Linked DNA regions of Mus musculus: region 2 is reported to be linked to region 1. Evidence: microRNA targets listed by miRTarBase, many of them from high-throughput screens and not tested one by one. Region 1 holds a microRNA gene; the other region holds the end of a gene's coding sequence.

Evidence for each region. The annotated mature microRNA mmu-miR-26a-5p reads UUCAAGUAAUCCAGGAUAGGCU and lies in region 1 at 5,061-5,082, opposite strand. An mRNA with a match to its seed (bases 2 to 7 or 8) in the 3' UTR can be bound and repressed. Matches are read on the target gene's strand: a 7mer-m8 pairs with bases 2 to 8, a 7mer-A1 pairs with bases 2 to 7 and ends in A, and an 8mer does both.
Region 2: the mRNA of Jagn1 is a reported target of mmu-miR-26a-5p. The part of its 3' UTR that is shown has no 7-base or 8-base seed match.

Annotation. Positions count from the first base shown.
Region 1 is chr9:119,029,774-119,036,892 of GRCm38, reverse strand. Mir26a-1 (microRNA 26a-1) reads right to left here and starts at 5,097; the gene lies at 5,008-5,097. Ctdspl (CTD (carboxy-terminal domain, RNA polymerase II, polypeptide A) small phosphatase-like) reads right to left here. Exons shown (of 8, transcript NM_133710.3): 5 at 6,641-6,697; 6 at 3,265-3,357.
Region 2 is chr6:113,446,389-113,453,507 of GRCm38, forward strand. Jagn1 (jagunal homolog 1) reads left to right here. Exons shown (of 2, transcript NM_026365.3): 2 at 870-1,841. The coding sequence ends at 1,332. Among named protein-coding and RNA genes, the nearest start is that of Jagn1, 7.4 kb to the left of the region's middle.

The sequences.
Region 1 (7,119 bases):
GTCAGCATCGGATGTCTTTCTCTATTGTTCTCAGCCTTATTTTTTGAGGCAGGGTCTCTCCTTACACCCACAGCTCATGATTCAGGTAAATTGGCTGTCCAGCAAGCCCCAGGGTCCCCGCTACCTCTGCTGCCCCAGTGCTGGACGGCAGGGGCACACGGGCTTTCTGCTTCCCTGCTGATGCTTAGCAATATTTATACCAACTAAACCTTCTTCTCAGACATACTCGCCTTTCACTTAAAAATTCCCATTGTCGCGTACGTGCACGCTCACAGGTGCACCATGATGTGCACCCGTGGGTCAGAGGGCAACTTCAGGGAATTGCTTTTCCCTCCCACCTTTAGGCAGGTTCCAGGGACTGACCTCAGACGGCCAGGCTTGTGTGGCAGGTGCCTTGAGCCGCCTCATCATCTCGTCAGCCTCTTGGACCACTTTTTAAAAAGGCCCTGAAATAACTGGAAGCGTTTTATGATTGTGGTATTCCCTCTCTACCTGTGTCAGAAAGCACTGCATTCTTACAGTTCTCTCCCACAGGATCCATCAGAAAGTTCTTATCAGTTTCCTCTCCAAAAATATCTCGACTCCCACCTTTATTTCTAATGCATCTTCCAGGACCAGGCCTCCTGACTTGGGAGGCTCCTGTTTCCTGCTGGGCCTCCTGTCCTTGCCCATTTACCTCACAGCTGTCAGCGTATCCACTGGAGGACATAGAACATCCTACCCCAGGCCTACTTAGAACTCCCACGGTTTGCCCACTGCCTTAGGAGTAAACACACGGAGGCACACAGCACATCTCATCCCATCCCCACTTCCTCCTGCAGGCTTCACTTGAGGTTTGAACTCAGCAGTGAGGTCAGAGCGAGGCACACAGCCAGGAAGCCCCAGGGCTGGCAACCCCTTCAGGGAGGGAGCGGACACGGAGGCTGAGTCACGAAGGCCACAGTAGAATGCACTGTGGCTGGGTCCTGGGAAAGTCCTTCTGGCTCTAAGGAATCCCAAGGGGAGCAGCTTCATCTCTTGCTGACCAGACAGCTTAGAGCACTCTCTGAGGGATGGGCGAAGGGGCATGTGAGCCGTCTACAGAAGGTTGACGCGGATGGAAAAAGAGGGTTCCTTTTCTCCTCTGCGACCGTCAGTGTGGCAATCAGCCTTTGGTTTTTATACTTTTTATACGATTAAAAAAAAACCTATGTGCATGTGTACTTTGCTTGCATGTATGTATGTGTGGGCGTCATGTATGCATACAGTGTGTACAGAGGCCAGGCAAGGGCATTGGATCCAATGCCTGGAACTGGAGTTACAGACAGTTGTGAGCTGCCATGTGTGTGCTGGGGATTGAACCTGGATCCTCTGCAAAGGTGGCCAGTGCTGGGCCATCTCTCCAGTCCTGGCGATCATCTTTTAGGTTAGTGTCTAGGGGCTCCTGGCTTGCAAGACCGGGATGAAGACTACAGGCACCGGACACGGGGGTTCATCCTTTCTCCTTGGTGCCCTACTAAGCAAGAGGGGCGAATGAACCAAAGGATGCATGACAAACCAGCAGACCATAGCAGTCTGAGAGTCGGAGCGCTGTCCCTGCAGGCCCCAGCAGGAGGCGGGGAGGCAGTATACAAAAGCTGCTGGCTGAGTGCTGAGCTAAACTCATTAGCCAGAGCTGGAACCCCGACCACCAGTCCAACCTGACCATTGGGGCTGGAAGGCTGAGGCCGAGCTGGGAACTGGGTTTGGCTCTGCAGGCAAGAATAACTCTGAAGCAGGGCTAGAGAAACAGATGGTGGGGCAGGTGGGAACAGCCCAGGAAGAGCGGCCCAGACAAGGATGTTTAAGTGAACACTGGGGACCCTGCCTAGGAAGAGTTTTCAATCTTGCTAAGGAAAAAAAAAAAAAAAAAAAAAAACCACAAAAACCAAGCCTCAGTCCGGCGCTCGGGTGCAATCTTCCCGCTCGCTCGCTATTTGGCTGCTTATTACTTCAGGTTCCTCAGCATCCCGGAGCGGCGTCACGAGCACCACTGAAGCTGCTCACGCAATTAGTCTTGACACCACTGGGGACGACTATGTTTTCCTTGAGGCCGTGTTCTGCTTTGTGTACATGAGATCAAAACCCAGGCTCGGGATCACTCGTTAGCAGCTCCCATTGAGGCTGGCTGACGACGCTGGTGGAGCAGAATGTGTGGCTCTTGCCTTGGTCAGCATAGAGTATAGACCCAGCCAGGAATGCCCCAGCCAGCAGAGTGGGGCTGAAGACCTGGGGTCGAAGATCCAACAGGCAGATGAGGATGGGTGCTATCCCAGGCAGGCCGTGGGGGAGGGAGCTGCTAGTGGCTCCCGGAATTCTGCACACCACAGATCTCATCTCTGGGGCCACTCAGAGTTTTCCAGGTACCCATGAAGACCCAGGTGCCTCTGCTAAGTGGATTGACTGACTCTGCGAGAGTCACGGTCGGCACAGAAAGGATTTGGGAGAGCGAGCTAGGGTCTACTCCGCCTGCTTTCAACTCACCTGTGAAGCCTGTCTGGATGCTATTGGTGCTTATGATGGTAAATACTGAACATCAGGAGTGTTTACCCTGCGACAGTGTCCATGGCAGTGCCCAGAGAACAGTGAGGGCTCAATGAACGTCTGCTTGATGGGAATCTGGGGCTGTGCTGAGCCGTTCACATGGGCCATTTCATTTAATGAACTCTAACAGGCAGATGGAATTATCCCCAATTAGACAAGAAGAAACCAATGTGCCAGAGGTAAAGGAATTTACCAGAAACCATTCAGCTCCCAAGGCTATCAGAACTCCCAACATTCTGTGCCTGCCAGTGACACTTGACACCTGCCTCTTAACTTGTTCCTCCCTGAAACCTGTGGCCATCAAACACGGGGACACAGGGACTCTAAAATCTGGCTGCTCTTCAATGCGTGAGGGAGACTCCCCCACACCTGCATCCATCCACAGTCACAATGGACGGGTCTTGTGGTTTTGTCTGTGGATAACTGGTTTCAGGTGGCTGCATAAAGCAACTTCATGGAGCATTTGTTCCAAATGCTCCCAGTCACCATGGTAACCAGAAACCTCTCAGCCTAGCAGTGTGCACATGGCCTGCATCTATCGCATCTGGGGTGGGAACCTGTCACCGTAAAAATAGCTTCCTCCACCTTAACAAAGGGCTCTTGGCAGCTTGGGGGGTGTGGTGGAGGGTGGAGAGGTTGGGATGACGGCTGGGAACAGGACGCAGGATGCAGGACACAGGATGCAGGACGAAAAGGACGCACCTTGGCCAAGCTGGCAGTAAAGAGCACACACTCAAAGAGCTGCCCCATCCTCTGGAGGAACTCGTCCACGTGAGGTCGCTTCAGCACATACACCTGCGGTGGGAGGAGACAAGAGCTGTCAGTCATAGCATCCAGGGACAGCGTGGGCCTTGGAAGAACTGCCAAGGGGCCCTTCTCCTGTTGCCAGGCCTATGTACGATTTACTGAAGCTTGCACTAGGTTCTGCGTCTCAACCCTTGTAGAGAGAAAGGAAAGCCGACCACGTCGTCAAGGTTCTTGAGTATCTTCGGAGCCAGTAAGCAGAGCACAGCTGTGCCATGTCCAGTCGCAGTTGCTCATGCATCCACTTGGCACTTGCTGAGTCAGCCCCTATGTGGCCACAGGCCACAGCCTAGGTGCTGTCCTTCTGGAAGTCTAGGACTAGCTGCGGCCTCCAACTCTGAACATCCCTGCCCCCTGGGGTTAATGCACTTGAAAACTTTCTAGTGGACACCATGGAGGTCACCCTGCTTGTGTAGGGGTACAGAAAGCACTTCACATGGGTAAGGGGCTGCTTCCCACAGTTGGGCTCTGTGTATCCTTCTGATCAGACCAGACAGGCCTGCGAAGCAGCTGGTTTCACCTAACACCCAGGCTGCAGTCTCTGGAGGCTAAAGGAATGTGTAGGAACTGGAAGAGAGAAAGCAAAGCCAGGGAGAGGCAGTGGGCAGAGGGAGGGACCAATTAAAACTTGAGTAAATTCCACTAGAAGTTAGCTACATCTTTAAAATAAAACATAATTACCAGGTCTCAGCGCTGTGCTCAGTTCAGCTACAAGGCTGAATTGGAGCCCCCAATCCTCTGGAGACTCGTGTGGTGGGCCTTGCCGGCTCAGCTCACTCAGTCTTGAGCACACACTGACAGAAATTAGTGAACACAAGAAATCTCACAGTGGGGTATTCATTCAAGATAATTCTCCCTTCCAGAGGGCGTCTCAGAAAGCAACATCTGGCCTTGACCTTGAATAAAGAGGAGCTCACACGCTGAGAGAGAGAGAGAGCTGAGCCTCCAACCCGAGCAAAGTGTGAACGTGAGGATCGGAAGCGTCACAACACTTGGGTTTGTGTTGGGCCAAAGCCTGTGTCCACAGCCAACCATAGGCAGTGAGAGAAGCCCTGGAGGCTGCTCAGGGAGGAAGCAGTTAAGGTAAAGAGCTAAAGGTAGCAGTAAGCCACAGGGCCTCTAAGGGCAGACAGAGCAGGGGAGGGGGCTGCGGAAAGGGAGAGGAGACACAAGACTGCACCCCATGCAAGGAAAACACACTGCAGGACAGACTTCCTAGATGGAAACACTGCTTTGCAGCATGCCAGGAAAAGGCGCTTCCTAGGGCAAAGACCTGGAGAGAAAGCGGCTGGCTAGCTTTAGGAGTGGGTTGGGGGTCTGGCTCTGCAGCTGAGGGTGGAGAGAGGGGCCAGAGGAATATAGGTGGTCTATCCTGGGTGCCACCAGGATCCTGCTGAGCTGGGGTGTTGGGCTAGGCTGAGGGCAGAGCTGTGTGGCTGTAGCAGCTGCAGGACCTGCTTTGCTCATAACACTCGTTGTTGCTGGTGCCAGTGACTGGGTGTGGCCTCCGGTCCTGAGTCTCCGGGAGGACTGCTTGGCCAGCAAGCTTGGCTACAGGCAAAGGGTTGGAGATGGACGGGGGAAACTCTGTTGTTGCCGCCTTTAGCAGAAAGGAGGTTCCTGGGCCCAGATGCCGGCGTCCAGGCCCGCGTCCCCGTGCAAGTAACCAAGAATAGGCCCCTTGGGACCTGCACAGCCTATCCTGGATTACTTGAACGAGGCCACGGCCTTCGCCAGGGCCTCGGTCCTCCAGCTTTTGTACCTTCCTTCTCTCTGGAGTTTCTGCTCCCAGCCCTGATGCCCGGGGTGTCTACTGCCAAAGAGAAGGGGCAAGGGAAGCCGGGGTGGGTCCTGCACTCCGGACGTGCTTGTGGCCACGTGGTGTGAAGAATTATTTTCTTGGGCAGTCCTCCTGAGCCTCACCTCAAGGACTCTTCGACTTTAGACACAACAACCAGCGCAGAGGTCCTAACTGCATGGCGGGGGTGGAGTTAATTCAGTTGGTGCTTTGTGAATGGTAAGTGACCAGGTGCCTGAAACCTTCCCAGGTCCTATGTCCTGTAGGACAGGATAGAGAGCTAGGTGGGGGTAAGGGAGACAGGGGGAACCAAGTCTAAGGAAAGAGCCCTGGCTTAGGAGTCAGGAAATCTTATCCTGATGATTGTCATATATAACCTTCTGTCTGGGCAACGGAATGGCTAAAACAGCTGATTTCACAGCCCTGGATTGTTCTAAACTGCACTCAAGAGTTAAGGAGCCTTATTGGCATCGTTAAGAAATGACATCCTGTGTGGCCCAGGAACCAGGAAATGTCTGTCCCTTCCTGGGATATGAGGCCAGATACTCTCCCCTTAAGGCCTTGAGTTTGATGGGGGAGACAGTCTGTCCCATCACTCCTAAGAAACATGTGGCAAAACTATATCTACCTTAACCTCCAAGGCGAGCTTTTCTACCATGTTTCTAATGTATTCATAGACGAAGTCATTTCCAGAAGAGCTTGCTGATGACGAAGAAAAAATAAAGAAGAAGCAACTCCCCCAAACAAACAAACAAACAAACAACCCCAAAACAGAAAACCCCAAAAACCGGAAGAAGATTGATGCCAGCTGACGATGACAATTTATGCACAGCACCCTGCTGGTCTTAACACACCCTTCCCCTTTGCTCTGGGTTGAGTATTTGCTAAAAAAGACACTGGAGAAAACCACATGGGCAGAGAAGCTCTCACGGGAGCAGTTGGCATCAAAGTGGACATTTTTCCCAAGAATGCTCCGTCAGTGGGTGACTGGTGGCATTTTCCTGTTGCTAGGAGAAGCCAAAAGCAAATGCATGATGAAGTTGACCAGATGTCAAACCCGGCCAGCGGTGGGGACAACTAGGGGATTGCACAAAGGCTCCTAAAAGTTGAAATCAAATCAGAGATCATACCTAATATTTATTAACAGAAAAGGGTCCTCATAAACACGGTAAAAAGCAAATGCATGCATGAGGCAGAGAATCATTCACAGTATTTTTATTTAGCTTTTGAGACAGGGTTTCTCTGTGTAGCCCTGGCTGTACAAGGACTCGCTTTGTGGACCAGGCTGTCCTCAGACTCAAGAGATCTGCCTGCCTCTGCCTCCATGCCTGGCTTACTATACTTATTATACAAAGTTTGTTTCCTGAAGTTAGAATAAAATGGCCACTGAAGTGAGAATTGAAAAAATGATGTTCCCAGGGAGTGTGGTTACAAGAAAATGCTCTCTGGAACTGCAGGCTAACTCTGGTTCCTTACCTGGTGTATGGTTCCGTCGATTTCAACAGGAACAATGAAGTCAGCATTACTAATGGGCTAGAGAGAAAAGAAATTGTGATTAATACATATGAAAGGAAAGAGAAAATTGGAAATTGTAGCAAGAAAGAAGCTTGCCTGGACCAATGTTTTGACGATGGCAGGAAATAGTTCACAAGGATGCTGGCAGAGGCCTTGGGTCCTTGAAATAAACATGTAGGAAGGAGTATTTCTTCCTGTCCTGAGTGTCCTGGAGTTCCAGCATCTAGCCCAATCTCTTGGACACCTGCCTGCCTCAACTGCAAAGGGTGGCATAGTCTGGCAAGAGAATGGGGCTGCTCAGACTCCAGCCTGGAGCCCAGACAGGATGGGGGACGGGGGGACGGGGACGGACCACTGATGGCCACCAGGGGGCAGAGATGAATGCCTGCTGGCCAGTTGTCACTACCACTGGAAAAGCAATTTGTCCTTGGACTCAGAGT
Region 2 (7,119 bases), not on the chromosome of region 1:
AGGTGAATTACTGCCTCCTTAAGTCCACTGAGTTTTTCAGCTGGTGCTTTACCTCTGTGCAAGAGGATGACAAGCTCTCTGGACCCTTGGCCCCTTCCTACTGGAGACCTTGTAACCCAAGGTCTTGTCTTGCACACCTAGAGGTGAAACCTTGCTCTTGAGATTGAAAAGGATACGCTTGAGACCTAGGGAATTTAGATTAAGAGAGACATGCTTCCTTCACGTGACAGCTGTAGCTGGAGAAATAGGAGCTGTGTTCCTTGTTGCTACAAGGCCTCCTGGCCTTTGTTTCTGTGATGCAGAGCTATCATTTAAACCACAGCCCAGAATTCTTGTCATGGCTTTGTGAGATGGTGTCTTGCTATGTGGTCCAGGCCAACCTCCAATTTGGAATCTTCTGTCTCAGCCTACCAGGGGCCGCTGCTGCTCTTCAGTCTGAAGTGTCCTCGCCTTGTCTTTGCAGTTATCTGTCACTGCCTCTCCTGTGTCTTGCCACTTGATTTCTTGAAACACAGATACATAAACCCCTGTGTTTTGTGCCTGCATGTTTTTGCCTCTGCATAGAATGCTCTCTCCACTCGTCTAGAACCCAGGCCGAAATGCTTTCTCCTGTACACAGACAGCCTTCCCTCCCTGGCCTCCACCTTATGCTACAGTGATTACTCCCAGGATAGCTTAGGCTCTGTGTGTTTACCTGAGCTTTACACTTCATTTTCTAATTACTTTCTTCTCTATCCCTTGGACCCAGCCTCTGTTTGAGGCTGTATCACTCACACTGTATCCATGTGTCCTGTACACATGCCTGGAATACGGTTGGTGGTCAGAGCACTTGGAATGAAAGTTGCTTCTCCCTTTGCTCTGTCTTACAGTGTGACCCTCAAGTACGAAATCAAGAAGCTGATCTACGTGCATCTCGTCATATGGCTGCTGTTGGTGGCCAAGATGAGCGTGGGACACCTGAGGCTCTTGTCACATGATCAGGTGGCCATGCCCTATCAGTGGGAATATCCGTATTTGTTGAGCATTGTGCCCTCTGTCTTGGGCCTGCTCTCCTTCCCTCGGAACAACATTAGCTACCTGGTGCTCTCCATGATCAGCATGGGGCTCTTCTCCATCGCTCCCCTCATTTATGGCAGCATGGAGATGTTCCCTGCGGCACAGCAACTCTACCGCCATGGCAAGGCCTATCGCTTCCTGTTTGGTTTTTCTGCTGTCTCTGTCATGTACCTGGTGTTGGTACTGGCAGTCCAAGTTCATGCCTGGCAACTGTACTACAGCAAAAAACTCTTAGACTCTTGGTTCACCAGCACACAGGAGAAGAAACGGAAATGAAGCCTGCTTGATAAACTGCTCTGAGGGGTAAAACCTAGGTCTCCCATTGAGCAGCGTGAAGGGAGCTGTCCAGACTCTCCATCGATTGTGGCATCTGTGATGTTGGCACCTAGTGCACACTAGGCTCAGATTTTGGCCTAGAGTTCTGTTACCATCTGCTGAGGTGGCAAAGCTGTTGTATTTAATTTATGCTTGACTAGCTGCAGCTGGGTGACCAATGGCTGTGACACACTTTACCTGGTTGAACTTGAGGCCCTTTAGAGTTTGGGTTTTCCAGACTGAGCCTTATCCTTGCCTTCTCTTGGCCGTACTCCCTCCTTCCATTCGTCACCTCTTCACCACCAGTACTAGAAGAAATATGGAATAAATCAGTACATGAAAGCAGACTTCAGTCTGTGGGTCATGGGCAAGCAACATTTGGGAAGTTGCTCCCCTATGGGCTGTTCTGTTTACTGCAAACCATTTTAAATAAAAAGAACCTCAATAAATAAAGTTAAGACTGTCCTGTGCCTCGTGTTGGAGATTTGATTGTTTTTCAGAGTTGTATGGAGCTGCCTGTGGAGAAGAGAGCTGGGGTGAGGATCTAAGTCAGCTGCAGCCCTCTAGCTTTTAGGTAAGAACTACCCGGGGTGAGGGGCACCGGAGGTGTGCTTCAGGAGTTAAGAGCACTGGCTGCTCTTACAGAGGACCCAGGTTGGGTTCTCAGCACCCACGTGGTGGCTCAAAACCATTTCTAACTACTGTCCCAGGGTATTTTATGCCCTCTTCCTGCCTCTGGAGATACTTAATGGGCATGAAGTATGAAGACAAACTTGCAGGCAGAACACTCATACACAGAAAATAAGGCAATTTAGCTCTGGCTGTCCTGGAACCCACTATGTAGAGGAGACTACTGAACTCAAACTCACAAACTCCTGCCTTTGCCTGCCTATTACAGTGATTAAAAAGTTAATCCTTTCTGTGTCTAAAACTGTATAGTAATATCCAAAATGATTTTTAAGAATCTGCTTGTAGCCGGGTGGTGGTGGCGGCATACTCCTTTAATCCCAGCACCCGGGAGGCAGAGGCGTGCAGATTTCTGACTTCGAGGCCAGCCTGATCTACAGAGTGAGTTCCAGGACAGCCAGGACTACACAGAGAAACCCTGTCTTGAAAAACCCAAAAAAAAAAAAAAAAATCTGCTTGTAGGGACTATATTAGTTCCCACTAACTGACAGGTAACACGAGGCAAAGAAAGAAAAAAGGGATTGGGGTTCTTTGTCGGCTTTCTGTCCATGGTTCGTTGGCCTGCTTATTAGGGGCATGTGCAAAAGAAACTGCTCACCCTGTGGAAGCCAGAAAATGAAAAAAAGACACGATCCTACTGCAGACCACCAGCGATAGAGCCTCCATCAGCCCCACTTGAAGCTTCCTCCACTTCCACAAATGCCTCAGACTGGCAAGGAGATTGCAGTCTTGGGGATTGTGCAGTGAACACAACACCTAATTGTGTGAGATAGTCACAACTGAGATAAAGTTAACAGCTACACCTAGAAGTGTCACAGTAAGTAGGGCTGTCCATTTGCACTTGGACTTCGTTAGGCCTGGATGATATATCTGTGTCTGCAGAGATCTGACCTCTACAGTTGTAATTCTTTTGTTCTGGAAATGTGTTGGGTGTATGGTCTGCAGAGCCTTCTCCAGATGGATCTTTTGTATGTGGGGGAGGGGGCGGTGGTTCAAGGTGGTTTCTTTTTTTCTTTATTATATATATATGAGCACACTGTAGCTGTCTTCAGGCACACCAGAAGAGGGCATCAGATCCCATTACAGATGGTTGTGAGCCACCATGTGGTTGCTGGGAATTGAACTCAGGACCTCTGAAAAAGCAGTCAGTGCTCTTAACCACTGAGCCATCTCTCCAGCCCTCAAGATGTTTTCTTCGTAGCCCTGGCTGACCTGGAACTCAGAGGTCCGCCTGCCTCTGCCTCTCAGGTGTTGTGACTATAGGCATGTGCCACCTTGCTTGGGTCGTACAGATAACTTCAAAGATAACTTCTGCCTCAAGCCTACTGCTGTTCCTAAGTCCAGTGTTGACAGGCGCACAGCTCTGGATCATTATCCACCCCTCAAGCTTTAAGTCCTTCTCGTTGCCTTCACCTTTTTCCAAGGTTTCTGGAGGTGAGGCTTCTCAGAGGTACAGTGCTTGTCTAGCATGCACTAGGGCCCTAAGTTTGATTCCCCAAGCACCAAGAAGTAAAAACAAACCTCTACTCTTAAACTCCTTTAATAATCTTTAAGATACCATTTAGGTGGAAATTCTGGAGTCTTCCCATTCCTCAGTTCAAATAACAACTTGTTTGTCTGGCTGTTTTCTCTTCCCTCCTCTATTAGACAAGGACTAACATAGCCCAGAATGGCCTTGGACTATTCCTAAGTGCTAGGATTACAGACATGGGTATCACACCTGGCTTATATTACTTGTTTGTATGTCTTCCATTCCCTTGCTCAGTACTCTGCACATTAGTGTCCACTCTGAGCTTACTGAACAAATTAACTTGTCCTTTTATGGACCAAAGTGTGTATGTCCCAGAGAACACAGCTGGACGGAAGCAGGAAGAAGCACTTGGAAGGCCATGGACAAGGGAGTTTGCCATGAGTTCAGCCGAGGTACACACCTCTAATTCTCAAATGACTGAGATGCAAACATTTGCTAAAACTGGGGTGCAAATTCCTAGTCAAGGAGCTAAAAACTATATTTGGTTATTAAAATGGTGTTTTATACACAGCCTTTGAGTATCTTGAAAATTCATTATGAAACTTGTCAAAATTTAAAAGTAGCTGTCATGGAAACCTCCATTTATGTTAGTTTTGTGCCTGGAATTATGTTTTTCTAGCCTTTTTCTATCAGTTTTTTCCTGCTTCATGGTTATGGTGTTCACAAATGAGGCCTCCTGTTGATGTAGTCAAAAGGAGCTGTTTGGATTAGAAAATTCATCTGGGTGTAGTGACACATGTCTGTTATTCTAATCTTTGGAAGGCTGAGGCAGGAGAAATACTGTGAGTTTAGTTTGCCTGAGCTACATAATCGAAACCAATCTCAAAAAACAAGATTGGTTAAAGTGTGGGTTAAATTATCAACCACAGGACTAAGACCAGCCACCTGTCACACAGGTTGCTTGAAAGCTCTAACAGGCGAAGTTTGAAGGTATTCTAAAAAGTTCTTAAATTTTTAAAATTTATTTTTCTATACATAGGTGTTTTGCCAGCATGTATGTTTGTTTACCACTTGGGTACTTGGTCCCTGAAAAAGCCAGAAGAAGGCATCGGATCTCCCAAAGCTAGCATTAGAGAACCACCATGCGGGTGCTGGGTACTAAACCCAAATCTTGTAGAAGAGCAGCCAGAGCTCTTAACCACTGCAGCTTCCCTCCAGACCTTGTGAAGGCTTTTTATGGACTCAGTAACACCATATGCGTGTCAAAAGTGGTGGTTGCTTGATCTTTACAAGCAAGACAGGAGAGTGAAGGAGTTGGAGAGACTCTTGAGCGATGGTCCAGAACCAAGAAAGGCTTGTGTGCTGCCAGGAATGATTAGTAGGCTGAGATCCTAGCCAGAGATTTTACTATCTTTGTTGGTTTTATTACATTTTATTGCCATCCTAGGAATCAAGTAGGGCTTCATACTTATTAGGTAGGCACTCTATCAACTGAGCCACATTCTTATATTCTACCCTTCATTTGACACACCGTAGCCCAGATTGTCCTTAAACTCAGCAGTCTCTGGCTTCTGTGGTGCTGGGATTATAGGTGTTTCCACCCCTAGCTGAACCTGTTTTTGATGAGATGCATGGGCATTGTGGACTTTCCCGTAGCTGTGAGGCTGAAAGAAATGGGAATGAATTACCCAGAACACAGAGATTTACATATCAAGATGCCTTTCCTGGATCAACAGTGCTGTGCTTGCCTCTCAGTCTGTCCACCTGTTTTAGGAGTGATTTCTCTTTCCTTCTCCTCTTCTCTCCCCTCCTTTCCCCTCCTTCTTTCTGACAGGATCTCTGTATAGAGTCCTCCTGCCTCTGTCTTTGAAATAGCGTGTAGGTGTTTATCACCATGCCCAGCTAAGAATGATTTCTCAGAATGCTGGAAGTTGATCCCTTCTAAAAGAACATAAGGGAATAGTTCACATTCTTGGTTCACATTATCCTGGCTGGTGCCCCGACAGCGGGGACAGAGCCAGCAGACCTTGGGAAATGGCCATTTCAGGAAGATCCTGTTGCTGCTACTCATGGCCTATCCAAGTCTATGCATAGGAAAGACTAACAAGAAAAATGGCTGCCAGGTGTCCCCTACCCCCAATAGTATACTCTCACCAAGCATGCATGCTTCAGGGCTTGCCAAAACTTCCTGAACCCCTGGCTTGGTTCCCAAATAAGATCATTTGAGCATGAAGTCTTGGCCAGCTGCTTTAGACTCCTAAGAACACAGGGCTTTTATGCTGACATCCCTGCTGCCTTCACCCCTGTTGCCTCCTATTCCAGCTACCTCAATTCTAACTCTCCCTGTTGACAGTTGCCAATCTCCTCTCCTAGAACTATGCCCACCCATCACTCACCGTGATAAGATTCCTTTCCGTTTCTTTGTTCTTTCCAGGTCTGGCTGCTTGCCCTCCTCTCCTCCCTTCCCATGGTCTTGTGAAAACCCAGGATAGTCTCAAACTCACTGTGCAGTCAAGGACAACTCAAGCTCTTGTTCCTCCTGCCTCCATCTCCCAAATCCTGGGATTGCAAGCTTATGCCTCCACACTCCACTTTCTAATCTCTTTCCTTACATATTTATTCCACCAACTTCATCACATTGCTACATCTGGAACTTTGTGCAAGATGAGATCAGAAGCCCTCTGGATTCTTGTAATGTGTTCTGCCAGGAGAAACAGGAGACATGGTGTGTTCTGCCTCTCCATTTCTTTGCTGTGTATGTTTTTGGCTGAGTCTCATAGTCTTCCTGAGTGTTCCCTTTCTAAAACCAGTCGTTGGCCTGACTGTAAGGGTTGTGATGCTAGTAACACACGGTAAAGGAGCAAGGGGCGTGATCCAAACCCAGATAGCTCAGTAGGAATTGATCTCATCCTTTCCCACTTTGGACTAGGCTCCAACCACACCAAATATGTAAACCAGCAAAACAATAACTTCAGGCTTCCTTTTGCCACTTTTTGCTACTTATTTATTAATTGATTGATTTGACAGTGTCTCACTATGTAGCCCTAGCTGCCCTGTGGCTAGGTAGACCAGACTTAATCTCATACACAGAGATCTACCTGCTTCTGCCTCTAGAGTGCTAGGATGAAAGGCATATGTCACCACTCCTGGCCTCCCTAATTCCTTCTCTATGGACTTCTCTTCTTGACCTTTACTTCTTACTCCCTCCCTCCCTCTTCCCTTCCCTTTTGTCTGTATTTCTTTATTGTTTCCACTTCTTTCTGCTTCTCCTAGCACACTTTAGACACTATCAGGAATCAACTAACTAAATATTTTTATCTTGAAAGACAGGTCAGACTCCTGGATGTATACCCAAAGGATGCTCAATTCTTCTACAAGGACAGTTGCTGAACTATGTTCTTAAAGCTTTATTAATAATAACCAGAAACTGGAAACAACCTAGATGTCCCTCAACCAAAGAATGGATAAAGAAAATATGGTAAATTTGCACAATGGAGGGTTACTGAGCTGTTAAAAACAATGACTTCATGGAATTTTCAAAGAAATAGATGGAACTATAAAAGACTGTCCTGAGTGAGGTAACCCAGACC